Drosophila melanogaster: one gene and its partners. The protein of the gene in region 1 interacts with the protein of each later gene in a pairwise test. Each region holds a gene or a part of one and is shown on either strand. Other genes may lie near its edges.

What was found.
Region 2: the proteins of al (region 1) and Jon25Biii interact in a two-hybrid assay, tested with the Drosophila melanogaster proteins (one large-scale study listed by BioGRID).
Region 3: the proteins of al (region 1) and CG6660 interact in a two-hybrid assay, tested with the Drosophila melanogaster proteins (one large-scale study listed by BioGRID).
Region 4: the proteins of al (region 1) and Jon99Cii interact in a two-hybrid assay, tested with the Drosophila melanogaster proteins (one large-scale study listed by BioGRID).

What each region holds. Positions count from the first base shown.
Region 1 is NT_033779.5:373,657-382,822, forward strand, and holds the start of al (aristaless), read left to right. Parts: upstream 1-4,455; 5' UTR 4,456-4,825; intron 4,826-9,166. UniProt on the Drosophila melanogaster protein: Involved in the morphogenesis of proximal and distal pattern elements in a subset of appendages. Also has a role in early imaginal disk development.
Region 2 is NT_033779.5:4,945,026-4,952,797, reverse strand, and holds Jon25Biii (jonah 25Biii), read left to right. Parts: upstream 1-2,030; 5' UTR 2,031-2,049; coding exon 2,050-2,826; 3' UTR 2,827-2,857; downstream 2,858-7,772. Other genes in the region: Jon25Bii (jonah 25Bii), read left to right, coding at 1-514; jet (jetlag), read left to right, coding at 3,125-3,900, 4,027-4,210; betaggt-I (beta subunit of type I geranylgeranyl transferase), read right to left, coding at 4,965-5,891, 6,577-6,727, 6,785-6,894; mRpL24 (mitochondrial ribosomal protein L24), read left to right, coding at 7,523-7,606, 7,718-7,772.
Region 3 is NT_033777.3:22,919,506-22,927,374, forward strand, and holds CG6660 (uncharacterized protein), read left to right. Parts: upstream 1-3,846; 5' UTR 3,847-3,965; coding exon 3,966-4,352; intron 4,353-4,414; coding exon 4,415-4,846; 3' UTR 4,847-5,020; downstream 5,021-7,869.
Region 4 is NT_033777.3:29,920,369-29,928,092, forward strand, and holds Jon99Cii (jonah 99Cii), read right to left. Parts: upstream 4,248-7,724; 5' UTR 4,220-4,247; coding exon 3,422-4,219; 3' UTR 3,386-3,421; downstream 1-3,385. Other genes in the region: Jon99Ciii (jonah 99Ciii), read left to right, coding at 1,874-2,671; Jon99Ci (jonah 99Ci), read right to left, coding at 4,931-5,486, 5,544-5,806; CG15522 (uncharacterized protein), read left to right, coding at 7,627-7,724. UniProt on the Drosophila melanogaster protein: Major function may be to aid in digestion.

The DNA of each region.
Region 1 (9,166 bases):
AGTCAAAACTGGGAAAGAAGGAAGAGGAACTGCTTCGGGCCCTCAACATCATTTACAAGTCAATAAAATCAATTTGGGCACCCGAAGAACAAACGAATTGCCGACAGCGAACCACACAATACAGGATATTAGCATTAGGGACAACACATCCATATATCTTACATCTTTTATGGCACGGCCCCCGGCCCAGACCAATTATAATTCTAACGATAGCCCCAGACGGACACAAGGCTCCCTTGTTCCCTTCCATCCACAGGACCAGAAGCCGGCCTCTAATTAATCAATTATATAAAATACAACTAATGCGATGATCGTGGCCAGGGTGGGCAAACGGACGAAGAGGGATAAAAAAAAGGGATAGGCGAGGACTCTGGTCCCAGAGTGCTGCATATTCTATAGCCTATAGACAGACAGATGCCACTGTCCAGAACTAAAGCGAAACCCAAACTGAACGAATGGAGAGCTGAGTAATTTTTTTGCAGATAAGAAAGAAGACGATGACTGAAAAGCGATGACTTTATTTCGTTTGGGGTCACCTTTAATAAAATTATCGTTGGAGGTAACCTCCGAATTGGAATAGATAAATAAATAAACAGTTTATTGAACAACAAATTTAGCTTGATTTTAAGTCACAAAACGTAAGTGGACAATTTTCGATAAAAATTTAATTCAAATTTAAATAACTTGTTCCATTTGTTTTCGTTGTATCTTTTTTAACTTCACATTCTCGGAGTTAACGTTTTGGACAAATTAAGCGCCTTAATTATGTTTAATTAACCACGGATAAATAATTACGAGTTCTTACAAAATCGACATTTAGTTCCACATGAATTTCCCATTTTTCGACTCTGCACGGAACTTTATTTGGTATGGGAAAATATAATTATATTTAATTACTTGAAAACAATATAAAGATAAAATTTAATAATTTTAATCCATGCGCATTAAACTCTAATTATCTGAAATATGCAATTTCTGTTTGGCGAATTCCACAAAACTTTCAAAATGGAACGAAAACCAAGTGTAGAACTACGTTAGGAATCCATGGGAGGGGGTCAGGGGGCAATTAAGACCAGTACCCAGTACAGTCGGTACACGCACTAATTACCAGAGCATTTCACATTTTATTTCGCCAGGAAGGCATGGTGCATGGGGGAGGGGGGTGGTAAACCAGAGGCCATGAGAGAGTTTCCACAATTAGATTTACGAACAAATGAAATTACTTCGCTTTCGTTTTAATTGCCGCCCGCTTATTGGCCAGGAATGTGTACGTACATACACATAATCAGCCAAGCAGAAGGCCTTATCGCTGGCTGGAAATCTGGCGATTTTGGGTTGCATAAACCAGTTAATAACGCGCTTCCGCCCAAGTCAATTTCGGGACTACACGACAATTGAGTGAAAATGCAATGTCGTCGAATCCAACAAAGCCGAAAGCAACGAAAGCCAGGCAAATCGTCGTATCAAATTACCAAATAATGATCTGGGGGAGGGCCAAGGAAATGCCGGCCGAAACACCAGCTATAACCTGGTACTAGGCCATCAACCGGGGCGTTATGTACGTACATACATACATATGTACGAATATAGTTGCCATCATGCGACAGTTTTGTTGGGTGATTATGTCACACGCCCTGCTCGCCGGCCGAACGCAGCCATTTGTAATTGAATTAATGCCGGGGTCTGTGGTCTGGGATCTGGGATCTGGGATCTGTAATAGTTGGTGTACTATTTATGGGCCAGGTGACGGGCGGGGCCTTATCGCCAACATTTCATCGCGCGACTCCAGTAACCCTAACTAATCGCACGTAATTAAATATAATTTGGTATCGTTTACAGTTGCGTTTCGTTTGCTACACCATTTTCACCGACTTCGGGCTTTCGTGGGTGAGGGAAATCTATGCCGAAGTAATGGCTGTAATTGGGTAACTTTTTTGGGTAAATTCCATACATAATAACCGCACAAATTGCGTATAGTTAAAGGGAGGAGAAGGGAAAGCTTGTTAGTACAAAGGCAAAACACCTCGATTGTATAAGTATGAAATACCCATAACTTCTTGCTCCAACCCGTTGGTTAAAATCAAAATATATAATTTATCTGAATCATTTTCATCATCTCAAACAACACCATCTTAGCTTTGAAGTTGTCTTTGTAAGTTTTATAAGAATAATTAAGCAAACACCAAGCAGACACCGCTAGTTGATTAAAGGCTACCATCTTTGGAAGGTCTAACCAAATGGCAAGCCCCTCAAATCTATTTCATTCTCCCAGCTGGCAAATGGCAACTGGTAAATTCTTCTATCTAAGCCGCATAATGGTCATAATGAATAAGACACCTCGGACAGCAGATAGGGAACGGGCGAGCTGACTTGGCCACTTGGCTGCAATTTGTTTGCTATCAGCCAGGAGAAAAACGGCGAACGACTTATGGGGGAAAAGAAGAAAAAGGAAAACGCGCAGCAGAAATAAAATTATTTAATTGCGCAATTAAGTGCACATTTGTAGCGTTTTGCGCGACATCTGTCCCATGTGCAGGAGTGGATGCAGACCCACAGCCACAGCGCGGAGTCGAAGTCGGGACCGGAAATTCAATTGTTGAGATAATAATTACATTAGGACGTGCGCGCATGCGCGACTCTTTCACTTTAAGCCTCCGTCTCTTTCGCGCTGTGGAGCGATCTGAGCCTGCTTAGAGTGGACCCGAATTGAGTCCGAACGGGGAAGAATGTCCACACGGATGTATTGAGACAGAGGAATACCTAGTACTAGATCCATTTCACCGCTAAATTACGAAATTTCCCTATTCGAATAAACCATCAAATATCCTCTTATAAGCATATATGCTGCGGACTGAATCTGTACATATAAAGACCTGACAATTCTCTAATTTGGATTCCGATTAAAATAAATTAAATGAAGTTCAATTGTGAGGATACCATCTTATTCAAGGGTAAATACATCAAGCCCTTGCTCTTCCCGAACACTGGGTATAATAAGTGCACACCTTGCGCGACGGGCTGATTGACACGGCCACATGGGGACGAGAGATACCGTGCTCGGTACCAGATATTCCCGATCCCGGTCCGAGTTTGCTGTCCATTGAACTCGTCGGACAAATGGTCACTCCTCGTCCGTCGACGGTCGATGGTCGCTGGTCTTTTGTTTGCATTTCGCCCGTAAATGAAGCGTGAAATTGGCAGCAGTGCAGCGGACTCGATCCAACTCCGACTCCAATCCCTATTCCGATCTGCAATGGAACTCGGAGAGCGTCGCATTGTTTACTTCTTGTTAAGGCCCGACAATGGGATAATATGGCCATATAATGGCAACACCAAACTATTTGTATGCAATTGCCATTAACACTTTATTTATTGCCTTGCGATACAAGCAAATTGGGCAGCGAATGATGGTCGAAGGAGGGGGACGCTTCCAGTGCAAAATGCCGCTGGAATGGATCTGTGGATGTATAAGGCCCGCTTATATAAAGCCTAATGAAGTGGTTATCAAGGAATGGAATCTGTTAGGTCTGCTCGGAAATGGCAAGAGCTGGGCTGAGTTCAGTTTTTCATCATGGACGGAAAACATTTTTCCTTGGATTACATTAAATTACGAAGATGGATGTGATAAAAATGATGTGATGTACAAGCCTATGGCTTGTATTTCACGTTGTATCAATCTAAATCAATATTCACTTATTTAAAAACTATCAACGGCTTTTCCAAACATCCTTCATTCAAATTTAACTTGAGTCATCTACATAGCTGGCTCATTGACCTTTTTCTCAAGTTATTGCCCTTCCCCGCATGACACCCCCACTCCGATGGGTAAGCAAAACAGTCTACAGTCCGACAATCATCCAATAAAGCCAACAAAGTCATTAACGAGGCCCTTAACACTACCAAAACGGTCTATATGGCCGGTTCCAAGTCCCCACCCCAATACACGCAACTCTTTTTCCCATATGTCTTGGCTAAATTATTTAATTTATGAGCCGCAACAACTGGCAAATGCATCTATGGCAACCAGAGGAAAACGCGTTGAGCTGGGGGGCAAATAAATTTCCATTTTGCTAATCAAATTTATTGCACTTTGTGCGGGGCTTATTCAATTACGCCCAATCGAAGAGGCGCGAGAGAGAGGGCCATGCGGAGCGACAGAGAGCGGTAGAGAGCAGCTCCGCCATTATTTCGCTCCGTCGAATGCTGCTTTCCCATAGGCCGAACCGCCAGAAAGAGGCGGAGTCCGCCTCCCGGCCACCTGCCGCCTCACCTGCGACACCTGCGACGATCGATCGACATGCTCCGATCGCATCGCTCCCTCTCGCTCTGCGGCACTACGAAACACTAAAAACACTGGGAGGCCAGAAAACCACTCTCGCAACATTGGAAAACAACAACTCCAACCGGTTGTTGTTTCAGACCCACCAGAGTTTTCACCTGCGCGCCAACTGCTCACCGTGTAGTTTGCTGCCGGCTCTGGAACAGCCCGGTCATCTCGTCGCGTTCGGTTCCGATTCCGATTCGAATAGTCGAGCTGGGGATACATTGTTGTTTCCGGGTTAAAGTGCGTACGATTGCGGAAGTGTCGGTATCCTGCGCGTAGTACAAAGTTATACCCATCAAAGGTGTATCGCGATCAAAGTGAACGCTTGGTACTCGGTATCTGGTTGTTGGAAGAAGTGGACAAAAGACCGTCGGCAAAAGTTACTGTTGGTGAGAGCTACAGGGCTTATTAGCCCGGTTAAATAGGAAGAGAGAGATTCAGAAGGCCAAACATTATCAAGACCATCCGTACAATATCTGGCGATTAAGGAGGAGAAGGAAGGTTAGTCTCAGACATTTTATCAAAAATATATGAAACATTCTTTGGACAGAATAGGATTTGTTATATCGAGAGCGTGCATTAAACAGGGAATCCTAGTTACTGTAACTCATAATTTTTTATCACAACCGTAGTCATTGCCTTATATCATATCAAAGATAGGGATTTTCTTAATCAAGCAATTTATATAAATTTTGTTTTAGCCCTAAACTAATCTTGACCCTTTTCCGCCACTTCCGATCCCCAAATCACATAAACTTATTATCACACCTTGCGAATAACCTACTTCTCAGCATGATAGACAAATACTACAAGTATAAGCCATAAATGAATTTCATAATTCACCTGTCTAATCATCCCAATCAATGTGAAGAGGGAAAAATAAAACGTATGACGAGACATAAATATCATTAAATTTGATTAATTTCCCACCTGGACATATCAAATCAGACAAATATCAAGCCAAATCGTATCATCGCTGTAGAATAGAATTTTATTAACTCAATTTTGAGGGTCGAAAGATTTCGCCTTTGCCTTAGCTGATAGTTCGATAAGTTTATCGCTGATTGGTTTTAATTAAACACCATTAAAGAGTACAAATTGTCAGCAGTGCAGTCAGCGCCAATAAATCACGTTTTGTCTAGCTGATGTTTTTCCCTTCTAGAGGTGGTTTTGGTCGAAAGTTGGGGGCATAGTCTTATGCTTGTCCCGTGTACCTACAGAATAAATGAAATTAACCAGCCACACCTATCACCCGCCGATAATCTTGTCAAAAGCCACTGACCACTTAGCTTCGTGACGCGGACGAGGGCCCCGAATATATAGTGAAAATAACACAAATATAGACAGATATGTGGGTCCTGATAAGGCAAAGGAAAACCGGGACCCTCTTTCCTGGTGATAATCGGGCACTTGGCCAACTGATTTAATTAATACTTATAACTCATGTGACTTGTCAGCACAAGTTTAAACGAATTTGTGACGCAAGTTGGTCGCAGTGTATTTGTATCTATGAGGTAGCATCATTCCCAATAGATAATACCGAAAAGATTCGATAAGATTGTCCCGTACAGCGTAAAATTAAAATATGTTCTCCACCGAAATGTAGTTCAATTCAATTACGGCAACATACAATTAAAACTTGTTGCCAGATACCTTAGATACTGTATCTTGTAGATATACACCCGAATTTTTGGCAGCTATCTGAACACGAACTCTGATTTGATTTGATTCGCTGTTGTTCGATTGCTCGACAGCTCCCAATTTGGGGCGCTGTCTTTTGAAGGGATGTCGGTTGATTGTTGATCGTTGATGGCAACACACCCCCCGAGAGAAATCTTCTCCAGCGGGAAGATGGCGCCAGGGCCCTTTGAGATGTGCTTCATTAATTCTTGTCCCCTGCCCCTCGCTAAATGGAACATGCAAACATGAGAAATTAACGTCGTCGTCCACAAATTGCCCACCGTCTGCCTCGGATTCGCTTATCAAACCACACAAGACAATGACAAAGGGCAGGGCGGAACAGTCGAAGATGGAGATGGCGTCGGGCAACAGTTGTCCAATCCCCAGATCCCCGATCCCCGAACACCGATCACCGATCCCCGATCCCCTCCGGTCCCAATTTATAGCTCCTCACTGCGACTGCTGTTCTTAACATGCTTTTTATGAGTAATTGGCCCCGCATCAACATCACCAACACGGGCTAAGCTTGTAGCTACAGCATCGCCATTCACCATCAACAACTTCTTGGTCTTCTGTGTGGGTCTTGAGTTGCTGATCCTGGCTCTGAGTCACAATTTGAACTTGCGTCTACCTTTGGACTACCGTCCCGGCACTCTGATCCATTAGGGTGGACACGGGGTAATTTTTGCTACCTGGGAGCGAATCTCGAATGCCCTTGGAGAGCTCGAAATCCATGTGTCAATACATTTTTACCCAAAAGTTCAAGTACATACAATTTTTATTGTATTTAGCTAATAGATAGTCTCAAATGGGAACGTGTTCTGCCTGTAGACCTAAAACTTTAATGTATACCTTAAATTGTAGACATATTAGGGATTATATAGGATAAGTAGATCAACAACTTAGTTGACCAACTTCATTCACCAGGCGTAGGGGAAGGGTACTAGACCCTTCGTTGCAACTTCGTCTGATAGGCAGTAAATTGAATTAAGATTGTGGAAAAGAACAACAAATGAGGCAGCAACTTCGACACAGGATATGAATAAACTAATTATAATTGGGAGTGTGTGCATTAGAGGTCCATAACGTACACCCCAGAACAAGAGGTACAGAAACAGACGATGATGACGGCGCCTGGCCAACAACAAGAATGCTGCCTTATCGCACCTGGTCCAAAAGACGGCGCCAAGAAACAAACAACCCAACAACTGGAAGGTGAATGGAGGGCTCAGGTGCAGCTTAAATGAGATAAACACTACGGAATTGACTCGACTCGGCCCAGCTCAGCTGCTTGTGATATTAGTTAAAAACATTTCTGGGTGACTTACAAGAGCTGGTCGAAAATAATAATTGGTCTTATCGAACCAAAAGTAAACGACCAAGCTTGGAACGTCGCTGGCCAATCCGTCAACTTCTCCAGGGGACCACCAAGGGACTGGTATCGGGGGCGATCATTGAGCTTTCGCTCGGGGCCAAAAGTTAAGCCACCCAAAATGCTTGCCATTATCGAAGAACCGGAGGCGAAATTACAATGCCGATCATCAAAGTGTGACTAAAGTGGTTTAGCCTAATGTAAACCCATAAATAAGCAGCCCAGATACCGGCCAGACTGGGGACTGGCTGGAAACTGGAGTCTGATCAATAAAGTCTGGAGAGTGGAGGATCGAGACGGAGGCGCATTAACGAAATGCCAGAAAAGAGCTTCTGTTTGCTGTTCTACCTGATGCCGTCCCTCTGGCCCGGCTTTTAATGAAATATGCCAGCCCAACAGTCCCCAGACACCGAGAATCGAGGATCGAGGATTGCACCGGGAAGATCGGGAGCCGAAGGAGCTAAAACACAAAAGTGCAACCATAAAAACGACACCAAACATGAAGGAGCCAACTGAAGGCCCAGCCGAAGTCGCGTCTCTGCGGAGAGGAGCTGCGCAGCTTTGAGTTGTGGAAAGAGCAGCCAGGCAAGGCAGAAACATTGATGCTTATCGAGATGACAGAAGTGACGACAACGGACGCCGGACAGCGGACAGTGGGCAATGGAGTACATCGGATGGACGGTGGACAACCAAATAGATGTAGCTTCATACACTTGTCTCGCATTACGAATTAATTTCTTCATTTGCCATATGAATGTACTGAGAGAAAGTCGCTAAATGTAGGATAAGTTTATTAGCTACGAGTGAAATAGCTCCAATAGGGCGCAACTTTTTTTCCAGTGGCTTTATGACTGTGCTGGGCTAGGAAACCCACACAGCCTACAATGTTGCTCTTAAATATTTCCCCAGACACTAATGGAGCTTATCTCTAAACGGAACAAGCAACCGCAAACAAGTTGCCAGACTCGGACTCGGGCACAACTCAAAACCCCAGACTTTGACTGAGATTTGGAATGGGACTTGGTCTGCCTTTGACTTTGACTGGCGCTTGGCCTGATTAGCATGCAGGGCCTAAGAGGGCCAAGACGCCGAGTAGTTGTGTCAAAATGTTAGCCACGAAATCGCCCCCACCAGAAGTTCGCGTCCTCCTATACCATCACATTTCATCACATCCACATCCCAGGCTTCCTGGAGTGGTCGCCTATCTGGTTTTGGGCAGAGCAAGTGCAGCGTTAACTTGATTAGTTGCTGACCAGCCAGTGACTTAAACTAAATGAAGCCATGCGACCAACGCGACCAGCGCGACCAAGCCAAATCGGTAGGCAGACGTCAAAAACTTGACAGTTTCCAGCAAAGTCTCTGCCTTTTAATTACCCAGTGAACCGTCAATCAGCGGAGGATTCCTATTCCTGCTGCTCCGATTGCCTGGCCCATAATAAAGTCGTAACGCGGATACAATTATAAGGCGGCTCCACAACAAAGCTGAACGGCACACATTCCCCGCATAGCTCCAAAGTGCTCAACGGTTCCCATTCGCATTCACATTCACGTTCACATGCAATGAATTAATCAGTGCTGGTCTTGTAATGAAGTCGGTGGCAATCGCAACTAGTTACTAGTAGCATAATTGCAAATTCGTACAACTAATTTAATAATTTGCTGACCGCAAATTAAGTTTGTCAGCTGTCAATACGCGGAATTTGTTGACAACATTGAAAACTGACATGGCAACTCATAACCGAAGTTATGATCGAGCCCAGAAATGAGTTATGAACTGGAGTTAACTGACA
Region 2 (7,772 bases), 4.6 Mb from region 1:
TCAGTACACCCACACCGTGGGCAGCGGCCACTTCCGCCAGCACTCGGACTACAACACCAACAACCTGAACAACGACATCTCGCTGATCAACACCCCGCACGTGGACTTCTGGCACCTGATCAACAAGGTGGAGCTGCCCGATGGCAACGAGCGCCACGACAGCTTTGCCGGCTGGTGGGCTCTAGCCTCCGGATGGGGCAGGCCTTGCGATAGCTGTGGCGTCTCCGACTACCTGAACTGCGTGGACTCCCAGATCATCACCCGCGACGAGTGCTCCAGCGTCTATGGAACCGATGTGATCACCGACAACGTCATCTGCACCTCCACCCCCGGCGGCAAGTCCACCTGCGCCGGCGACTCTGGCGGCCCACTGGTCCTCCACGACCGCTCCAAGCTGGTCGGTGTCACCTCCTTTGTGGCCGCCAGCGGCTGCACCTCGGGCCTGCCCGATGGCTTCACCCGCGTCACCAGCTACCTGGACTGGATCCGCGACCACACTGGCATCTCCTACTAATTTCGTTCTCGAAATAAACCCTTCTGCATTTAATAGATAATTGTTTTTTAATTCGATAGTTTAAATTTAAGGAATGGGGAAACTAAAATGGATTATCTTAAGGATCAAGATACTTGATTTTGTATGGTTTAGATTGATTTTCGATATCTTCATAGAATGTTTTCATAGAATACGAATGATATGGTTTCCAATTTATTATTATTTATGATTAAATGTTAAGCCTCATATTTAAATTAAATCAGAAAGATAAGTAGTGTTATAAGTTATAAAGAATTGCGTATTTCATTTGTTGTTAGTGCCAGTCTAGTTTATTTCTCTTACTATCTCAGTTTTCTATCAATTGATTTGGAGGGATTTGTTTATTTTTCAGACCTACCTTCGATAAGATTAAAGGGTTTACGCATGTGGCTAAAATCTCCATTTTGTTTAACTTGTTTATAATAAATAAAATTTTCCTTCATTTAAATAATGATAATTTATATTTCAGTTTTTCTTAGAATATTAAATACAGATGTATATTTTGTTTCTGTTTTATTTTGGATATATTTTTGTAAGTATTAAAACGATTGGATAGTTTAGAAACTTTAAGCAAAAGCTATATATAATAGCAAGCAAATAATAATTTACAGATTTGTACTAGATTTAATCTTATCTTCAATGACAGCTAACTTTTTTAGTAATTTTGACAATTTTGCTGTAAAGAAGTTCAATCAGCATTTTTATGAAAATAACACACAAGTTTTTAACATTTTTCCAACACCTATTTTATTATCACTTTCAAACATTTGTTTACACTTGAACAATAATTGTAAACTATTTTATTTTTAAGCACTTGTAATTCTTGTTATCAAAAACCTGTGAGTATATAGGGTTATCATACACTTGTGCATCAAGTTTTGGTTTGTTGTTGTTCTTATTAATTGTCTATTAAATTAATAATAGTCGAGAATCCTTCAGCCTAACTTGGCAACAGTTAGTAATAGATTTGAAAACAAGCGGAAAACCTCCAGCCATTATTACAGATTATCCTTATCAGGACAAAAAGCAGACATACATTTTATGTAAAAGTTAACAAACAACTTTATTGAAAATCATTCCTGTCCAAAGATCATTGTAAATTTTAAGTTCTGAAAAATGATGATAAGATAGAATGGTCTGCGCAAAGGTTGACAAATATATATTTTATAATTATGAATAAAACTACAAACATATTTGATTAGCCACAAAATATTATTCCATTTAGATAGATAATAATTTGGCTGTTTATTGCTGCATACTTAATATATGGTAAATAATAAAATAATATAATATATATAAATATATATAGTCTAGTGGGGGGGGTCTAGTCCCCCCTAGAGTTTCTTTGATTTCTACTACTGGCTTGGTAGAGTGGTTCCTCCATTCTTATCGATGACATCGTTTATGGGAGTCTTGAGGATTATTTACGAGCCCTTTTCGAGTTGCAGATATGGTTTTAGCTGAAAATGTGTATAAAAGGCTGCCATCCGAGAGTAGAATCCAGTATAAACATCAGCATGAAGGTGTTCCTAGCTATCCTGGCTCTGGCCGTGGCTTCGGCCTCCGCCTTCGACGAGAAGGTCTTCGTAAAGGACCTGCCCAAGGCCACCAAGATTGAGGGTCGTATCACCAACGGATACGCCGCCCCCGAGGGTAAGGCTCCCTACACTGTGGGTCTTGGCTTCAGCGGAGGCTGGTGGTGCGGTGGCTCCATCATCGCCCACGACTGGGTCCTGACTGCCGAGCACTGCATCGGAGATGCCGCTTCCGTGATCGTTTACTTCGGTGCCACCTGGCGCACCAACGCCCAGTTCACCCACACCGTTGGCAACGGCAACTTCATCAAGCATTCCAACGCTGATATCGCCCTGATCCGCATCCCCCACGTCGACTTCTGGCACATGGTGAACAAGGTGGAGCTCCCCAGCTACAACGACCGTTACAACAACTACAACGAATGGTGGGCCGTCGCTTGCGGATGGGGTGGCACCTACGACGGCAGCCCACTGCCCGACTGGCTGCAGTGCGTCGATCTCCAGATCGTCCACAACGAAGAGTGCGGCTGGACCTACGGCAGCGTTGGCGACAACGTCATCTGCACCCGCACCGTCGACGGCAAGTCCATTTGCGGAGGTGACTCTGGCGGTCCCCTTGTCACACACGACGGCTCCAAGCTGGTGGGAGTTAGCAACTTCGTCTCCTCCAACGGCTGCCAGTCGGGTGCTCCTGCTGGATTCCAGCGCGTCACCTACCACTTGGACTGGATCCGTGACCACACTGGCATCTCTTACTAATTTTTCTAAATAAATCGATCATTTTAAAAGCAATACGTTTCGAGAGTATATAAATCGGGGTCACCAACAAAATGTATGTGTTCTACACTTGTTTTACGCAGTGTAAAACAAATTTTACTCGTGTGTAGAAACCACGGCGTAAGATTACACAAATAATTTTTGTAGCAGTTTTGTGTGAATGCCAAAGCAACAGCTGATTGCTATCAAGTAAACAATTAATTACGTTTTTGCCGTGCACCAAAGGATTGAGTTGGGAGTGCTTTGTTGGTGCGTAGATCACGTAACCGGAGGCGGCAGCATGTGCACTCTGCACCCCGAGGAGGAAGCTCACCTGATGGCCATGGCCAGCGGAGGACAACCAACGCGTACGGCCAGTCCAAGGCCATTGGTCACCGCCTCCATTGCAGCACCACGATCGCTGTTTGATGTCTGCTGGGACGATGTGCTCATCCCGCAGGTTGCCGTCTACCTGTCGCTCAAGGATCTCTTCAACCTGCGCTGCTGCTCCCGTACCGCACAACGCTTTGTGGAGGCTGCGCTGGAAAAAAGGCAGGAACTTCATCTCTCTGGGAACAACACAAAGAATATCGACGTGGCCTTTCGAGTGCTGGCCCGATGTTGCCAACGATTGGAGGTGCTTCATCTGGCCTGCTGCCGATGGCTAACAGATGAGCTGCTGCTGCCACTGCTGGCCAACAACAAGAAACGCCTGTGGGCCGTCAACCTGAACGAATGCGTCAACATCACGGCCCTTTCGCTGCAGCCGATCATAGTGGAGTGCAAGGAGCTGCGCGTACTCAAGCTGTCCAAGTGCCAGTGGCTGACCACGGGAGCAGTGGACGCTTTGACGCTGCACCAAAGCAAGCTGGTGGAGTTCGACATCTCCTATTGCGGCGCAATTGGAGAGCGCTGCTTGATTATCTTCTTCAGGAAACTTAACAAGCTCACCGTCCTGTCGCTGGCAAATACGCCCAGTGTCACCGATCAGGTGCTCATCCAAATCGGGAACTATTGCCGCGAACTGGAGCACATCAACGTGATCGGGTGTGCGGCTATCTCCGACTATGGCGTGCAGTAAGTAATACTCGTAGTTATCCCTAAAAGCTGTTGTCATATTGTCAGTAAACCTGTGCGTGCCTTGTGTCTGTGTGTTTCTGGGGAAACCAATCTCCATCTGCATCCGCATCTGCGTATTTTCAGCGCTTTGACAGTGCACTGTTTGCGGCTACGGACCTTGCTCATTCGACGTTGTCCGCGGGTCACAGAACTCTCCCTGGCGCCGCTCCGCCAGCGGCGTCTTTACATCGATAGGCCACAGCCGGATGTGGGGCTCAACGCTTACAACTTGAACGACTTCTATCCCAGCGATTTCCTTGTTTACTAGCCCACACTTCGTTCTCCCTCTTCCGCAGTGCCCTCACCTCCAGTTGCCCGCTGCTGCAGTCACTGATGGTGCAGCGCTGCCCATTGGTCACCGAGCGTGTGCTCGCCCCACTTCGTGGACGGGTCCACATCGATCGGCCCGGCATGGGCTACATGCCAACTGTGCAACATCACCGCCTGTTCCTGCAGGTTTGAGATTAATTCTGATTCCGGGCCAATATTACCAATGTACCAAGGAGGCTTTCGAGGCTATCCAATACTTTTGCTGTAAATACATGCCTCAGCATGGGACGCTTTAATTTACTTTTAAGCTTAATCTTACACATTGTTAACATTAATTTAGGCTGTACAATAAACATACTAACTTATTCATCTCTCTCTCCAAAAGCTCGAGCTTTTTGCATTAAAATACATGTAAACCAGAAAGTAAGCTAGAATCGGCAAGCCGAAACTTATATACCCTTGCAGTAATTATAACATTTATACCGATTAAAAACAACGACCCGTTCATGCAGATTGCTAAACTAAGAGACTATTTGGCATAGAAACTGACAGACGGACATGGCCGTATCGACTCCGCTGGTGATACTGATATATAGTTTATATGGTCGCAAATGCCTCATCCACTGCGCTACAAACTTTTCGATAAAATAAATATACTAACTGCAAGGGCATAAAAAGCGTGGCTAAAATGTGGCCAATATAAATACAATAGTGTGCTTTAACTTTCCCCTCGTGCTTTGTGCGGCTTCCCATCATTGTGCTGAAATTAATGGCGAGTTAGAGGTAGTTGTTGTGGATGTCGCCTCGACCCCCTTTGACAGGTGGAGTTGTTGCTTGAATGCAGAGCTTACACTAATATCCTCGTCGCCTCGGCCATCTGCGGACCGCCACTGCTCATGCAGATGCTGCAGGTGAGCGTAGGCGGCCATGGACATGTTCAGACTGGGATTCACGGGGCTTAGCCCAGGTTCACCCGTGAAAGCTAGTCCGCAGAGACCGAGGTATGTGTGAAACGGATCAGGCGTGGCTTGCGGCCACTTGGCAAAGCCCCCAATGAGCTTATCCTGTGTGCTCAGAATGAATTCTCGGTTCCGGGCATAATCGGTTAGTTCGAAGCCGTCCAGAATACATAGCGATGCACCAATCCAGAAGGAATAACAAGTATCCACTGGCTTATTGGGGCGTCCTTGGAATCCATCCATCTGGCGGAAAATGAGCCAACGCTTCATTCGCTCCACCGTCGTGGCATCCAGGCGATGCAGTTGTCCACTAAGATGCAACGCCGCCAAGGCACAGAATGTGGTGCCGCCATGGGCCTCCCCCTCCAGCTCTTGGCTGAAACCGTAATCGTATCGCAGGCTCCGAGTGATGAACTGAAACATGGTCTCCTTGTTGACATCGCCCCAGTAGTCCAGCATGTAGCATATGGTGGCGGCACAATAAACAAATCGCATATCATCCTCGCTGCCATCGATGCAGGCGCTAAAACTGCCCTCAGGCTTCTGAACAGCAGCCACTCCGTCCACAATGCTTTTCCGATCCAGTCGGGACAAATCATCGCCCAGGGTGACCAGCACTGCGAGACTGGTGTACGTCATGGCCAAGTGGCCCCACTGGTAATTCCGCATGCACTCCAAGATCTCGGCGTCCTCGGTTTTGGGCACCATGGCGCGGCAGCCCTGCAAAGATACCAATTAATTAATCAATCTATTTTAAAGTGGTTTTGCATGTTGCTGGCGTCGCTGATAAAGCGTGGCGCGATAAATTCAAGGTGTCGGTGGGTGGGGTGTGGTGGGTAATGGTAAATCGAGCTGCTGCGCAAATGGAGAACTCCTCTACAATTATGCATATTTAAACAGTATAGATCGTAACAGAAGTAATGCCGTTTTGCTTTTTATGTAAAGCAGATGCGTTGACCTTGGAATTAACAATTTAATGGGTTTTCATTAGAATCCAATTATTTAAAAACAAAATTTAGATTTGTAATTTAAACTAAAGGGTCTGGAATCATGAAATATGTGATGCATGATGGGGAAACAAGACGTGGCTTCTTAGATATTTTTAACAAAAACAAACTTCATAAATGCTAATAAAGAATTGCATACTTTTTTTGTTGGAAATGAATCTTTCAAAATATTTACTTCGTGGATGCTTCTCAATGAAGGAAATGCGAATGCTCGTATATCAACTGACTGAATAAACACCAATATGTAAGGGATGCGACAACGTCTGCCGCAGTGTCTGCTACCTGGCCACGTATGGAGATAAGGAACTTGATTGGGAGTGGATGTGGGAGCGGAAGATGGTTCTGTTTGGCTTGTCAACGACTGTTTGTACACCTGACAGACGCGAATTTATGCTCACCATGAAACCGCCGCAGTTTTTCTCGTTGTCGCGTGGCACTACCAATCCTCCGTAGATCCAGTCAATGATGTCCTGCCTCAGTTGTGGCGGCACCAGATGCAATGAGTTTAGCACATCCAGGCCGCAGACGGCGAAGAACACAATGGTGCTCCTGATGGACAAGGAAATGGTTAACCAAAAGTTAAATACGAGGCCAGGATGCACTTACCTGGTGTTATCGTGCGAGGCCATGCGAGCTGGCAGGAGATTAAGGAATCGGAGCAGATTCTTGGCGTGCTTGGAGAGCAGCACGGGCTCCGTATCAGTGCGGTCTTCCATATCTATGTGGTGGGACATATTGCTTGTTAAATGAGGAACTTATGGGTGGGTAGGAACTGGATTGTCTCGGTGTGCGCTGAGATATGGATATGACTAAGCGTTGAAAGGCCCTTCCCAAACGGTTGGACTGAGCTGGCCGGAATAGACGCTCTCCGGTTGCGATTCCGTCTTCCAATGATGTTGCGCCCGCACGTGCCCACATTTATATGGTCTAGCACTTACCTTTTGTTTATATAAAGCCGGTTTGCATTGCAATTTAGGGCTACGGCGAACGATATAAAACACCAAGAGTAGTCCACAAATAGCAGCTGCTTCTTCTTACCTCTTCTTGCCAGTCACAGCGAACCACGTTTACACGGGGAAATAATTGCTAGTTCTTAAATTTCTATATCATAATGTTTAACAATATATAAGCTAAGATATTTTCTTAAACCTCGAAAATAATTAATTTAAATATTTTACAAGCCTACATCAAGTGTTCATAATCTTTAGAGTCGCATAAACATTAAATATAAATAAAATTGTTGGGCCTTCCTGTGAATGGCTATTCTTCAGTTCTCAACAGCTGATTGCAAGCCGCATTTAATTTACTAGTTCTTATTATTAATAATTGAATTAACCTTTCAAAATGCGTTTAACGCAATATTTGGCCAGCAAGTTGAAGAACTTTTCCAATCTGCCCAAGGAATACATCGAGCGCAGCAAAAAACAGGTAACAGGAAGAGTCTTTTTCATTGAACAACTTGTGAACAGCGGCTCACGTAACACATCGCATGGAAAATGTTTCACATTTATTAAAATATTTTTTTTCATCTCAACACAGGTGTACTGGCAAACTCCGAAGGAGATTAATTACCTACCGCGTACCGTGGAGCGAA
Region 3 (7,869 bases), on another chromosome or scaffold:
AATATACGAGCGGGCAAATGGAAATTGAAAATATCCTATTACCAGGGGATTGATGCCGACAGCGCCACACCGACGAATGTAATTGAAGGCTTCACTTAGCGGGGATTTCGCAGGATCATATACATATATATTGTACATAGGAGCTCCCCTATGCAGATATTCATTCGTACGTCTATCCCATATAAATTCGTATATTAGCATACACATTTGCATGCCGCGTCCCCTGGGCGATTGCCATGCGATAATTATGGCAGTCGAATCCCGAAAAGGACGCAGCGAGAAATCCCCAAGAAATTTATTAATTAGCACTGGAGCTGAAGAACCGGGGGAGTCCATGTTCTGTGGCCCAAGCTCCCTCCGTTTATTTTACCAATTAAAGCCAATTCTGGCATGTTCCTTCAGATGGGCGGTCGCATTCAAATGTGTGTTTTCCTTCCTCCGGCGGGGATACATGCTGGTTCTTGGCTTTGAATAGGAAGTTGAGGAGCCCGCCCAGGAGCTGGTTGGGTAGTCGTTGGATCGTTGGATCGGAATGGGTCTGTAGCATCCACTAATCGCATTATTAACGCGCCGTTAACATTTTGCGACATTGACTTGAACTTTGGAAGTGACTTTCATGGCTAAAACATGGGGCAAATGTGGCAAAGAGTGGAGTGGCGCATGCAGTGGAGTGGCGCGATGTGGATTTGCTTGGCATTCAAAATATGCTTACAAGACATGGCCAGGGCCAACATTTATATAATACCCTTGAAGTTTTCGGCATTTGCCAAATTCCGCTTGAACGAGCCGCTGTCAAAATAGGAAAGCAAGGCGAAATGGCAAAGCATTTCTGCCATGGCAATACCAGCTCCTATGCCAGATTCGAGTGTCTTCGGAACGGCCATAATCATAATAATTAATACCCATTTACGTTCTTTTGCCGAGCTGAAAATCAAGCCATTATCGCCCATTCACTTGCCGGGGTGATAATTATAGACGCCCGTGCACAGATTGTCGGCTGTCCCGAAAATTATGCACTATTTACTAATGACAGTTCTCGGAGGTGCAATGTTTTGGCCAGTTGGGCGTATAATAAGTGCACATAAACTTTTATTGCTATTCCCGCGTGGAGTGCACAGCGTGTAAAACAGGTGAGCCTGTGCACCAGGTGCACCGTAAAAAAATAATGTGTATAACCACGTATACTTCGATTCGTATACCTCGTATTTCATACGAGCTCTTCATTTGAAATCATTAAAACGAGCTTAATGGCAAAATTCTTTTTAAACCTACTTGAGAATATTCATTTCATTTTTTGTCGTTGAATACCTTTAAAGGAATAAATTAAAAATGTTATGCCTTTATTTTGGATTTAAAAAAAAAACAAATAGATATTTTTTGAGATTTTTTTCTCAAGTACTTTTTCCCTAGATGGATATTAACGAAAATTGATACAATTTTTTTCGCAGTGCGAGTGCGTGCCAAGCAACAATGCCATTGACAGTGCAGGCCAGAAAGTGGCGGAAAAAATCGTAGAAAAGAGTAGAGCAGTTTCCCATCCAATGAAAAGCTCTATATATTTTTCAACGCTTTTAAATAAAATTCCCGAGGAAGTTGGTTGGAAAAAAATATCTGGCCAAATGACTGTAATTTGCATTGGCAACTCACACAAAGAGACGCCGCGCAGTTTAACACCTGCATGAGTGTTGGTCGGCCTGTGTTTGTGTTGGGCCTTTCAATTTAAATACAAACACCCACTCGCACACACACACACACACACACACTCGCATTAACAGTCGCCGAGTGTGTTTGCACGGACTGTTTGCGGCACGTCACAAAAGTTTCCTGTTGAATTTCCCTTCATTTCCTGGCCAAAGAGATTATTATTTTCATTTCATGCCATGGCCAGCGACAACGGCGCACAACACTATGTTTTAAGCAGAGACATAAGGGGGCGTGGCCGGGACTCATTTTCATATTTATGCTGTCGACCCAAAAACTGTTTACTTACTCGCCATCATTAACGCTTCATTCGCGGCGGACTTTTAATTTTCAGGGCGACCTGTTAAGGCCAGAGTTTTTCCTTTTCCTTTGGCCGGGGCATCGCCAAAAAGCCCTATAACCGTGAATCCGCACATGCCCGTATATACGGATATACGGATATACGTATATATCCGCACATTCAACGTCTTGGTCCTTCGAGTCGTATATTTGCATACTTCCGGTGCGCGCAAAATGATTATCATTATTATTTCTGTTGTTTGCTGTTGTCGTTACCGCGGCCATTACCGTTATTGCAACGCCACTGGCAGCGGCTCCTCGCTCCTGAAGTCCCATCGTCCTGTCGTCCTGTAACTCCGAAAATGGCCGCCAATCGGAGGGGAACGTGCGACGGTTATGGCTTATTTGTGCAAATGAGCTGACGTCCATTACATTGTCCGTGGGGAGGTGAAATGCAAATGATTGTTTTGGCGCTGGCTGGCTCAATGTCTGCCGCACAACAAGGTCACCGCAGGAGCCCCAAGGACACTCTTATTCACATGTGAGTGTGTGTGTGTGTGTGTGGGCTGTACACATATCGCATCACTTGCGGCTTAAGGACACGCGAGTGAAAGTAAGTGAAATGGCCTCGCCCAACTTAGCCCACCTGGCCTTGTTTAATAGCCAATAAGGTAAACTTTTCGTACAGATCCTTGATTGATTCTCCTCTATAAATTGGCACATTTACTTATCGAAATAAACTGAAGCTCCTTAACTGTAAACTTTCGACCACAAAATGCTTGCCAAGTTTGCACGTTGCGCAAACAAATTGCACCTGCTTCAGGTTGATTAGCCACCTGCAGCCCATCTCCTTTGCTACTTTGCTCCTTTGCTCCTTTGCATGGCCCTCGGTTTGCGCTGCAAGCCAGGTCGTAAAACACTTTTGCCTATTTCGCTGAGTTGGCTCGACTGCGATCTCCAGCTCCTCTTCCAGTTCATCTAGCTCCTCCAGCTCCCGCTGCTCTTGCTGTTGTTTTTAAGAGCCATTTGTCCGATGCCCGCGGCTATTTACAGCCATTGTACAGACTTGGCGAATTTATCAAGCATGGCGGAGTCGCTCAGTGGGTCACTGGATGGTGAATGTTGGTGAACTGGATTCGGGATGCCGGATACTAGATGCTGCAGCTGACGTTACCGCCATTTTTCCGCTTTTCCTTCACTTCGCTTTTGGCTTAATTTCAAAACAGTTGCGCTTATATTGGCAGTTATGCTGCAAATTTATTGGCATGCTTTGTAAACTGGGTTAGTTGCATATATCTCGCAGCCGCAAGCTGCGAGCCAAACGATTAACGTTGAGTAACCCAAATTGATGTCACCACCCATCGACCGCAGCTAACAGCCCGCACCACCCACCGCCACCAACATTTGCCCGCTGGAGCATCATTTTTTCCCACTCAGCAAAGTTTCCGTAGCGGCTGGTTATAGCCCATAAATTCTCATACATTGTCAAGTAATAGCTAAACCCTGTTTACCCCCTGACAGGCACAAGTTCATAGAGATAAAGAAAAAATGTGGCACAATTTGGTCACAACTTTTTTAGAAAAGAGATAACCAATTTCTTTTCATAGTGAGATTGCTTAGGTCTTTTAAGAAATTTCAACTATGGAAAAGATGATCGGCACTTGATCTTGAAAGTGTGGTTTTATGCCCCGTTTTCCTTCAGTGTTTTTTGAGCGTAAACCCAAAGCAGTTCCAAGTTTATAAACCGGCGACAAAGAACGAGAATCTCTCTGGCAGTGCAACGCCTGACACGGGTTAATCCGGTATGCGTGGTGCTTCTCATTTAACGGTCATTAACATAGCCAGCCGGAATGCTTGGATAGACTGTGCTTTCGAGCAGTTCCGTTCAGAAGACTGAAGACCCTCGTGTCTCGTGGACTGCAAATCGCTTTCCGGCAGTTCGGCAGGGAGTATTTTTGAATCGAGGATCCAGAATGCGGCACAACATGGTGGCCTACCTGTACTGCCTGGTCAGGGATCTGTACGCCGAGCACGGAGATCCCCGAGTGGCGCACTTGCCCCTGCTGGGCAATCTATGGATCGTGCTGGCCATTGTGGCGCTGTATGTGGCCTTTGTGCTCCACTACGGACCACGTTGGATGGCGAACCGTGCTCCCTTTGAGCTGAAACGTGTGATGCAGGTGTACAATGTGGTGCAGGTGCTGGCCAATGCCACGATATTCGTCATTGGCCTGAGCAACACCTACCTCCAGCCGGGATACAGTTGGACCTGCCAGCCAGTGGATCACACGGACAGATCACCGGCCATGATGAAGACATTGTACGCCTCGTATGCGTACTACATGCTCAAGTATCTGGATCTGCTCGACACGGTTAGTTGGGGGCTATATACCGTCTATATACCTTCTATACCCATATACAAATGCATTCCCAGGTATTCATAGTGCTGCGCAAGAAGAACTCGCAGGTGAGCTTCCTGCACGTGTATCACCATGGCGGCATGGTCTTCGGCGTGTCCATCTTCATGACCTTCCTGGGTGGATCACACTGCAGCATGCTGGGTATAATCAATCTCCTGGTGCACACGGTGATGTATGCCTACTACTATGCCGCCTCATTAGGCGCGGTGAAGAATCTTTTGTGGTGGAAGCAGCGGATTACACAGCTGCAGCTGATGCAGTTTGGCTACCTCACCTTTCATTTCCTGCTCGTTATTGTCCGGAATCCGTGTCAGTTTCCCGTGTTCATCGCCTTCATCGGCTTCATTCAGAACATCTTCATGTTCTCCATGTTCTTCGACTTCTACTGCAAGACCTACATACGCAAACAGCGCAAATCGGCGGAGCACAAGCTGAAAGCCAGCTGAGCTGTACTGCCGTTGAAAATGAGGTTCAAGTTCGCGCCGCGTCATTTCCATATTAAATTGTGTAATAAGCTGGTCGGTCGCTTATGCAAATGGGCACCGATCGAACCCAAAATGCCTGGTATAAATAAACATTTCGGATTGTTTCCCAACCCCTCCGTTTCATCGCCACAAAATACATATCGCTCAATTGTTTTGCTTTTGTAATCAATTTCAATTTGCCAGCGGCTAGATTCGGAGGCTCCTTAAACTTTTCTCGAAAACTTCTTAACCGCCTGGGAAAATCGAAATGGAGCACGGAGAGCGAAGGCGGCGACAAGTTATGAAGTAAGTTAGCCGGGCATATCTTTTATTAAAGGGTTAAATGAAATATCGATGAAGTCGGCACCAGTTATGGCCGCCACGTGTTCCCGACCCACATTTCTCTATATGCTTCGGCCATGTGTCGCATGGGCCCCTGGGCCACCTTTTAACTTTCTGGCCAGCGTTGTTTTTTTCTGGCCCCCTTTTCAAAGCCAAAGAGTGGAAAAACCAGCTAGCACACCCACAGTGTTACCCCATGTTGAACACATTTGCCTAGAAGGCTGCCTCATTCATATTTTTTCCCCCTCTTTTTTTTTGTTTTTGCCATGGCATTTTTTCTTTGCCAGAAGTTTTACATCTGCTTTCGCTCCCAAAAAAAAAAAAAAAATGGAAAACCAAGGGGCGAAATGAGGGAAACCGCTTTAAAAATGCTTGTAAGCAGGCAGCAAGTGGAAAGCCGCAGGGCAGCGTTTGTGCCTCGTTTAGGACCGCCCGCACAATATTTTTTCAGTTATGTAAATTTTTGGCCCAGTCCGGCGAATACTTCTCTTAGGCGACGGCGGCGGCATCATCAAACTTTGCTGCTCACTCGGCCGAGAGCCTTCGATGGCAAATTAAAAGCCAACAGTCCGAAGGTCGCCTTATATTTGCGGCTGGCGCAAATGGAGCTTATTAAGTGGCAACAGCAGATCATTGCCAGTCGTTTGTCAGGCTCATATTTGTGGCTGGCCAGGGGAATCTCTGAATAGCCCCAACTCCGGATCACATAATGCCAAAAGTCCCTGCATGGATGCACTCAAAAAAATTAGGATTACAACAAAACCATTACTTTAACAAAGAAAGCTACTTAGACCATAATAGATGGTTTAGATAGATAGATATTTCTTGTAATCTTACAAAGCTTAAAAACCTCTCCTAGAAATCTATTACATATAGCATTAAAACATCCAAGACTCCGCAGTCCCAGATACTTTTCCCCAAACCAAATTGGACTGCCTTCTTTTTCCGAGTGTGTCTGTTGTTGTTGTGCGTTTGGGAGCCACATTAAAACTTTTCTAATAACGAACTTCTGCGACTGAAGCCGAGCGTAAACATTCGAGACGGAAGCTGGTCGGCGGATGTTGTGTATGTTCTGCTTGGAACTTATGTCCGGGTTCGAAGTCATGTATGCATGGCATACAATGTAGCATCCCGAATCGTCATCATTAACATCAGTACGACGTACGGCAGCATCAGCGATCATTGCCAAAAAAGGGTTCAATGAACGCGGCGCACTTCCTGCAAGGATATCAATTGGGCCAAAAAGATTGCTGGCCGAGGATGGCGTACATGGCATACATGGCGTATGCTCGATATCTGCCCGCCATTTATGACTCGCATGGCATTTAAGTGCTGGCCGTAAAACCGTTATGTAAACTACGAGTGCGAGTGCGATTGCGAATGCGATTCTTTACGGCCACTCGCAGCAATGCTTCTGCAGTGGCCATGGCCATTACTCAGCATAAAACTTGGCCAGGACCAAAAGGACGAAACTCCTTGATTGTGGTGTGCCCATGTGTGTGCACTGCACAGAATATCGACTGGGCTGTGACCCACACGCGCCACTCGAGTCCTGCGACAATGTTGTAGCCGAGTGTAAATAATAATAAGCATCGGCACATACGTTACCATAGTTATTCATGCTGTACAGTGAGCACCCGCTTTTGCGACACGTGTTCCAATCGATTCCCCTTGGCTTAAACAACTTCCTATGTGCGTTCTTACACTCAAGAGCGAAGGAGCTAGTAACTCGGCCCCCTGGCAATTATCCACAAATGTGTAGGCTAATCCTGTTTACCTTTTTCGAATTATCAAGCGCAAATCAATTTTCTATTGATGTCGGGCCTCGAACATTTAGCCCCGGGACTAAAAGCTCTTTATAATCCAATGAAAATGAACCCGAATATTAAGCGACCCAAATCTGGAATCTCTTTCATGTGTGCAGGTAATCAAGCCGGTATAAAAGGCCACATTTTGATGCTCCTTTCACCTGTTGCCGTAATGAAGAAATCTAAATTCCATTAAGTTTATGTCCGCATTTTCGTTCGCAGTTCACTGCTCAATGAAAAGCACTTACATTGACCTTTTCCACCCGCCCAAAATCCCACGTACTTTCCACGCTCCACGCCCCCAGATAAGAGGAGCAACAACAATAACACCGTGTCCTGAAATGGATCACAACATTTTCGGTGAGCTCAACGTATTTGCCTAATGGAGATTAGCCGGCATTTGGCTTTATTTGAATTCTGGTTGGCAATTTATTGCCAATGCTTATCGATCCTTATCGATGTCCCATGTCTATGCTCTTCGGGCATTTACTTCTTCCTTGGCAAATTTCGTCGCACTTAAGCACTTTGTAGCACTTTTTATCGCTGTAATTTTTGGTCTAACAAAACAATAAATTCAGAGCTTTGGTCTCGAGTGGCAGGTGAATTGCTCGCGCTGGCAGCCAAGTTGAAATTTGTAATAAATTTTAGGCCGAGTGGGTGGACCTACTTATCTGGGCGCTGGGCAATTTTGTTAATTTGTAAGTACACGGTGCCGTAATTAAGCGCGATTTGAAATATGTGACAAGCGGACCACGCGTGTACATATATACATACATAGTGTGACTCTCGAATAAATCAAAGTAATTAACTGCACGAGCGTACATGCAACAGGTCACGGGGTCACGCGGCACTCTC
Region 4 (7,724 bases), on another chromosome or scaffold:
ACTTCGGTAATTGTGGGGCTGCATTTGGAGGCAGCAACCGATTTTAGCGATTTCAGTTCAGGAATCTTTCGTCCATTTGTGGTTGCATTGCACGTGATGAGCGACTTTCGATTTTCGAAGCCCCAGCAACGGAATCGCACCACTTTTATGCCTGAAAATCCAAATCAATACTGCCCAGTGGGTTTATATGTAAGTGAAAAACAAAACGTGCTAAATGGAACAATATTATCTGCTTATATTTCGATGAAATGATGCATACAGTTGAGATATGAAATTAAATAGGTGTCTAATATTTTGTACCCAGCAATATAGATCAATGCCCAAAAAAAAAATACGCACTTTGCATACTTTTTGACACCTATTCAAGCCGAAATTCAAAGCTACTTAATATTCAAAAAGTAGCATGAGGGTGTTAATTTGCGAGTAAATAGGGATTCATGGACTTGGGTTCATATCCTAGAACTATTCACCGAGAAAAGCCCTTAAAAATAGGAGAAAATGCAAGCTTTTAAGCTTTTGGCTAACCAACAGAGCCGGAAAACACACCACACCTGCAGTTTACAGTCGAGTATCTACCGAATTGAAATGATTTCGAATGCCTTTTGGGCACTGGGTCAGTGATTCTGACTTTGTGATTGATGAATATTGATTAATCTGCATGGGAAGTGGGAGGGGGAGGTGGGGTGGTGTACATCTAAGACCCAACTCGTCCTTGGCAGCCGAGCGTCTTGAGCCTTGAATGTTGAATGTTGCTTACTTCAGGGCGCTCGCAGGGCTTTTGTGTGTCAATGCACTTGGAACTAAATGCCAGCTCCTGGCTAAAGGCGGAGAAAAGGAAAAGGAACAAGCCCACTTTCACGGAGCAGCCCTTTGAGATGAATGTGTGTGTTCGAAAGGTGGGGTTCAATGGAGCTCCGGGCGGAATGGCATCGTACGTGTTCAAGTCGTACGGGGTTTTTAGCGGGGCCAATGCACTCCACACTCCACTCGCATGGCTTCCAAGAGAAGAGGAAGGAAGTGATGGTGGCCCAAGGAATTTCAAAATTAAAGTCACAGCTGTCGAGGGGAACTCATTAAGTGCGAATTAATTAGAGGCCATAGCTGAAAATACCTGGATGGCATTCTCGTAATTATATAAAGGTACTCCTCATTACACAAATGTGGCTAAATGCACATTCTTCTTATAAGTTCCCATTAACTAAATGCTATGTTGGGTTTATACATGATTTTCTGCAGTGTACAACTGGGTTGCACTCAATGATTCATTGGCCTCCAACAAAACTCCTGCCTTATTTAGCTTTTAAGGACCCTTGTGAGTTATGTGCTCAGTTCTCCACGAGAAAAGCGAAAGAGCTCATTTTCCCTGGGTTTGCGTAGCAGGTTGCACTTTCACTGTCTCCCCACCGGAAACCGTCAAGATTGCGGGATAAAATTCATTTTATGGCCATCTGTATTAAAATTATATCTCTAAGCCCTCAACATGATCGTAAAAATCTATAGTATCAATGCTGATTTGCTTTATGGCACCGATAAGATACTTATGTGTTTAAACAAATTGAATGTACCCACGTAGAAAATGATTTTATGAATTGCATCCGATGAGTAGTATTTAACATTAAATTTATTGTATTTTTAACTGATTCGCAAATCATTGAACACTGATAAGTTTACGTTTTTTATATTGCTGTACAAGCCTCTGCGTTGTTTATTTTTTGTCTTTTTGCTCCTATGTAATCTGGATGACATTAATTTACTGCCCTCCAGCTCAACATATGGGTAGTTTGACACTTGGTCAAGATAAGACAAGGGACTTCTTCTGTATATAAAGGCGCTTCGACATCGGAACACCATTGAGTTGCAAGACTTGACCAAGATGAAACTGTTCGTATTCCTGGCCTTGGCCGTGGCCGCAGCTACTGCTGTGCCCGCTCCCGCCCAGAAGCTGACCCCGACGCCCATCAAGGACATTCAGGGTCGCATCACCAACGGCTACCCAGCCTACGAGGGCAAGGTGCCTTACATCGTGGGTCTGCTCTTCAGCGGCAACGGAAACTGGTGGTGCGGTGGCTCGATCATCGGCAACACCTGGGTCCTGACCGCCGCTCACTGCACCAACGGAGCCAGTGGAGTGACCATCAACTACGGAGCCAGCATCCGCACCCAGCCCCAGTACACCCACTGGGTGGGCAGTGGCGACATCATCCAGCACCACCACTACAACAGCGGCAACCTGCACAACGACATCTCCCTGATCCGTACCCCGCACGTCGACTTCTGGAGCCTGGTCAACAAGGTTGAGCTGCCCAGCTACAACGACCGCTACCAGGACTACGCCGGATGGTGGGCCGTGGCCTCCGGATGGGGCGGCACCTACGATGGCAGCCCACTGCCCGACTGGCTCCAGTCCGTCGATGTCCAGATCATTTCCCAAAGTGATTGCAGCCGCACCTGGTCTCTCCACGACAACATGATCTGCATCAACACTGACGGAGGCAAGTCCACCTGCGGAGGCGACTCTGGTGGCCCCCTGGTTACACACGACGGCAACCGCCTGGTCGGAGTGACTTCCTTCGGATCCGCCGCTGGCTGCCAGTCTGGTGCTCCCGCCGTCTTCAGCCGCGTCACCGGATACCTGGACTGGATCCGCGACAACACCGGCATCTCCTACTAAGCAGTTGATGTTCCTTAATTCTGAGGGGTTTCTTCAATAAACGATTATAGCAAGCAACTCAAGTTCTGTTTTTGGGATGGGATTCAGATGTCTTCTTGCTTAAGTAATGAAATCAATAAAATATTTCCAAGTGAAGGGAAATATATTAAACTGCAAACGGAAATAAACTTATTCCGATTTCCGATTTATGTATCGGAAAAAATCAAGCTTTAGGAACACATAATGACGAACCATCGGACTATATGCAAATATATATATATGGATCATACGTCTTATTATTATGTATTATTATTATGTATTGTTTATAATTATTATGTATATTATGTATATAAAAAGCAAACTGGATTGAAAATGGTGTATGTAGAATATTGGACTTGTTATATTTGCAACATAATTAAAGTGCATAAACATAATATAAATTTATGTTATTATAAATAGCTGCAAGTGGACTTTCCTAGCTTAAACAGTTTTAAATATAGGAATACCCTATAGTCGCTACTAGCGTTCAACAGCTATCATATGGATAGAATATAAAAATAGGATATAAAAATAAGTTAAACAATCTCGTTTTAAAAACATTTAAGGAAAATATGAGATTACTTTTAGTTTTATAATATATGTACATTTAATGTACATAATAGAATATATAAATATTTAGCTCTCAATAATGTGCCCCTCAATCTACAACTGAATAAATAGTTTGGTCGAATTTTTCATTTTTGCTATAATCGTTTATTGAACATCAACTGCTTAGTAGGAGATGCCGGTGTTGTCGCGGATCCAGTCCAGGTATCCGGTGACGCGGCTGAAGACGGCGGGAGCACCAGACTGGCAGCCAGCGGCGGATCCGAAGGAGGTCACTCCGACCAGGCGGTTGCCGTCGTGTGTAACCAGGGGGCCACCAGAGTCGCCTCCGCAGGTGGACTTGCCTCCGTCAGTGTTGATGCAGATCATGTTGTCGTGGAGAGACCAGGTGCGGCTGCAATCACTTTGGGAAATGATCTGGACATCGACGGACTGGAGCCAGTCGGGCAGTGGGCTGCCATCGTAGGTGCCGCCCCATCCGGAGGCCACGGCCCACCATCCGGCGTAGTCCTGGTAGCGGTCGTTGTAGCTGGGCAGCTCAACCTTGTTGACCAGGCTCCAGAAGTCGACGTGCGGGGTACGGATCAGGGAGATGTCGTTGTGCAGGTTGCCGCTGTTGTAGTGGTGGTGCTGGATGATGTCGCCACTGCCCACCCAGTGGGTGTACTGGGGCTGGGTGCGGATGCTGGCTCCGTAGTTGATGGTCACTCCACTGGCTCCGTTGGTGCAGTGGGCGGCGGTCAGGACCCAGGTGTTGCCGATGATCGAGCCACCGCACCACCAGTTTCCGTTGCCGCTGAAGAGCAGACCCACGATGTAGGGCACCTTGCCCTCGTAGGCTGGGTAGCCGTTGGTGATGCGACCCTGAATGTCCTTGATGGGCGTCGGGGTCAGCTTCTGGGCGGGAGCGGGCACAGCAGTAGCTGCGGCCACGGCCAAGGCCAGGAATACGAACAGTTTCATCTTGGTCAAGTCTTGCAACTCAATGGTGTTCCGATGTCGAAGCGCCTTTATATACAGAAGTGGTCCGTAGTCTTATCTCGACCAAGAGCCCTTCCTTCCACACGTATGTAAAATGGGAGGGCAGTAAATTTTAATCAAGTTATCATCGCGAGCCATCGTCGACTGATAAGTCCACTACAGGTGATTTTTTTTTTTTGTAAATTATGGCCTAAATTTGAAGTGGAATGACATGTGCCTTATTTGCAACTTACTCTTCAGTATGATAGTATCATGTAAGGACATTCACTTCACCTAAAATATATTATATACTCAGATTACCCAAATGAGGAGTAAAGTATTTTATGATCTTTAAGAAATTTAAATTCTGAATAATGTTTATTGAAAGTATTTACTACCAATTTCAAAAAAAAGTGTGATAAAATATTACTCATACGGCACATTGTACAGTTTTTGTTCTCAACAAGTTGATTTTTAGATTATCAAAAAATAAAACACTAATAGGTTAATATTACATAGGTAATGTATTAAATGGTATGTATTATGTAATATGTAATGTATTGATTATGTATTATTGGTAATTTTATCTCTAAACATGAATATGCCACTATCTTCCAAGAAATTAATAATACACAAAATATAACAGCATATGTTCTTCATTTATTTAAAACTTGTTTAAGCACCTTTTTGCTTTGAAATTAGTAAAGTTTTTTTTTAATAATAGATTCCAGTCTCCTCCTTTATCCATTCCAGGTACTTGGTGACCCTAGTGAAGCCAGCCGGTCCTCCAACCTGGCATCCGTAAGCGGAGACGAAGGAAGTGATTCCGATAAGCTTATCACCCTCCTTTGTGACCAGAGGACCACCAGAATCACCCTGGCAGGTGGCCTTTCCGTCCGGAGTTTCCACACAGATGGTGTTCTCGGAGGCGGTATCAGTTCCGTAGTAAGCCTGGCACTCCGCCACGGAGATCACTTTCAGATCCACCACTCGCAGATCCTCCACCACATTGCTGCCATCGTAAATGGCACCCCATCCGGCGGCCTGAACCCAATTGTTTTCGTAAGAGTTGTATCGGTCATCCAGGCTGGGAAGCTCTATTTTGTTGACCAGGCTGTAGAAGTCCACATGGGGAGTCTTGATCAGGGCCAAATCATGATCGAGTCCAACGTAGTGGGGATATCTGATGAAGTTCTCGCTGCTCACTGTGTGGCGGAAGGCAGGTTCGTTGTAGTTGACGGCACCATAGTACAGTGAAGCCTCATCAGCACTGCAATACGATGATTTATCAAAGAGCGTTAATTATTTGTGAAATCAAATAACTCACCCAGCGGTACAGTGGGCAGCAGTGAGCACCCAAGTGTGTCCGATTATGGATCCGCCGCACCACCACCAGTTTCCGTTGCTGTTCAAGCTCACACCCACGATGTAGGGAACCTGACCCTCGGACGCCAGGTTTCCGTTGGTAATACGACCCTCAATCCCTCCATGACGAATCTCCAGATCGCGTGGATGGACCAGCGAATGGGGCACAGTTAGGGCACTACAGACCCCAAGGAAGGCGAGCGACAAGAGTGTAAGACCCCTCATATTGAAAGACTAAAAGGCTCCCATGGTGGTCCCAATACTATATAGCTTAGCCATAATCACTATCGATGCTAATTCAAAGTGCGAAATCTTATCTCGCAGCACTTTTATCAACGAAAAAGTTTGATTTATACTAGCAGATACTCAAGACGAGTGTTTGGCAGTATGAATGAAGTGTTAGCAAAGGGAATAAGAGTGTTTTGAGTGCTTCAATCAATTCTGAGTGGATACAAGTTCAAGCAATTTAATTCATTTAATTTTATTAAATCATAAAGAATTATTAACCATGGTTAATAGTAAATGCCAGTCTGCTCCCTGATCCAAAAAGGGCTGCCAATATGGGTACGCAAGCCTTCATTTTGTATACTAAAATCTCCTGTTGGTCTCACACTTTTATATAGACCAATGAAGTCACTATCGATGCACATATAGAAGTGTACAAGCTTATCGTGCAATAAATTATTTTAATTTATGCCACCCAATGGATTAACTTAGTAATAGAGTGCGTTATGGGATTATGTACTTCAAGTTCAGAAAAGCAAAAGTTTATAATCGTACCTCAAAATATATATTCAAATTGTATGCAATGGTTGAGTTTATGCATAAATTCCCAGTAATATATGTCACAGCACAACAAGTGAAAATGTGCAAGCAAGGTGTCATGGGGGGGACTTCAAAGAACCCCAAGGAACAGAAATGGCAATCGAGGGTCATGTGATATCCTTGAAGTATTGCAGGGAATAGTGAAGCAGAAAAGAAAATACGATTATGGCAATCAAAAGGGAGGTCCACTTTCGGAACTACGGAGCAGCAGTATCACTCAAAGTGAGGCGATGGCTTGAAATCCGATATAGTTTCTGAGGAACGCCTCGGGCGGAGTGGGCGAAATGGCGGACCCATTCCTCATTAGGAAGCTACTGGGAATGCCTTTGTTTGCATTCTCCGAGCTTCCCCTTGACCGTCCTTCCGCCGACGTAGTGCCACGCTGAAATGTGCAACATATCGGGGCAGGAAACTCACCACACGGAACGGAAAACGGAGAACGGAGAGCTATTAAAGCCGACCCCCAACGAAGCGTGAGTCAGTTCCCGACTGGGCGTCCGGGCATTCAGACCGCTCGCAAGGATAACGCGCAAGGATCCGAGCGAACGCGACGAGTAAATAAAGCATAAATAATACAATTAAAAGTTGAGCGCGCTCCCTTCGCAAAGGACATTCCCACACTTGTAGCCCACTTCCTTCGGGCAGTGCAACACAAAAGTGCAGTCATTAATTAATTTAATGCATATGTACCCCATCCTGGCAGCACAAGAGTCGAGCCAAGCCGACGATATCCTATAAAGCGAGTGAGTGAAAAGTGTTCGACGAAGCGTTTAAAGGACCGCGCTGTTTGCCGTGTGCGATGCCCATAACAACGGGCTTCGCGATTGCCTTTTAAGGTGGGGCGATTAAGTCACGCTCCTCCGTATCAGCGGCATCGCCAGAACAGGAACTCGGGGCATTGACACTGCGGTTTTAGTGCTCAAACTAAAAATGTGAAAGGAGAACATTAAATCCTGACATGACATACCAAGAGGTGTTATATCATTCCAAGTTCCGCGCTCTTAAATCCTTGAACATATCGAAGTAATTAAGAAACTTACAGCTGTAACTCACAGATACAGTTTCTAATGTTTAATTACAAATTCCATGCTTTAGGCACTAGATACCACCGATAGCACCATGTTCCCACCCAGTTCTGAAGGACACATCCGAGTGTCTCGACGTGACTAGGCCAAGCAGGCCCCACAGATTATAATCCCCAAGGGGACCAGGTCATCAGGATGCACCAGGTACTCAGCTACGAGACGGCGGTGCGGGCCAACAGCTCTCGGGAGTTCCGCGAGTACGTTTCCAAGCGCACCTGTGCCTCCCTGGTGCT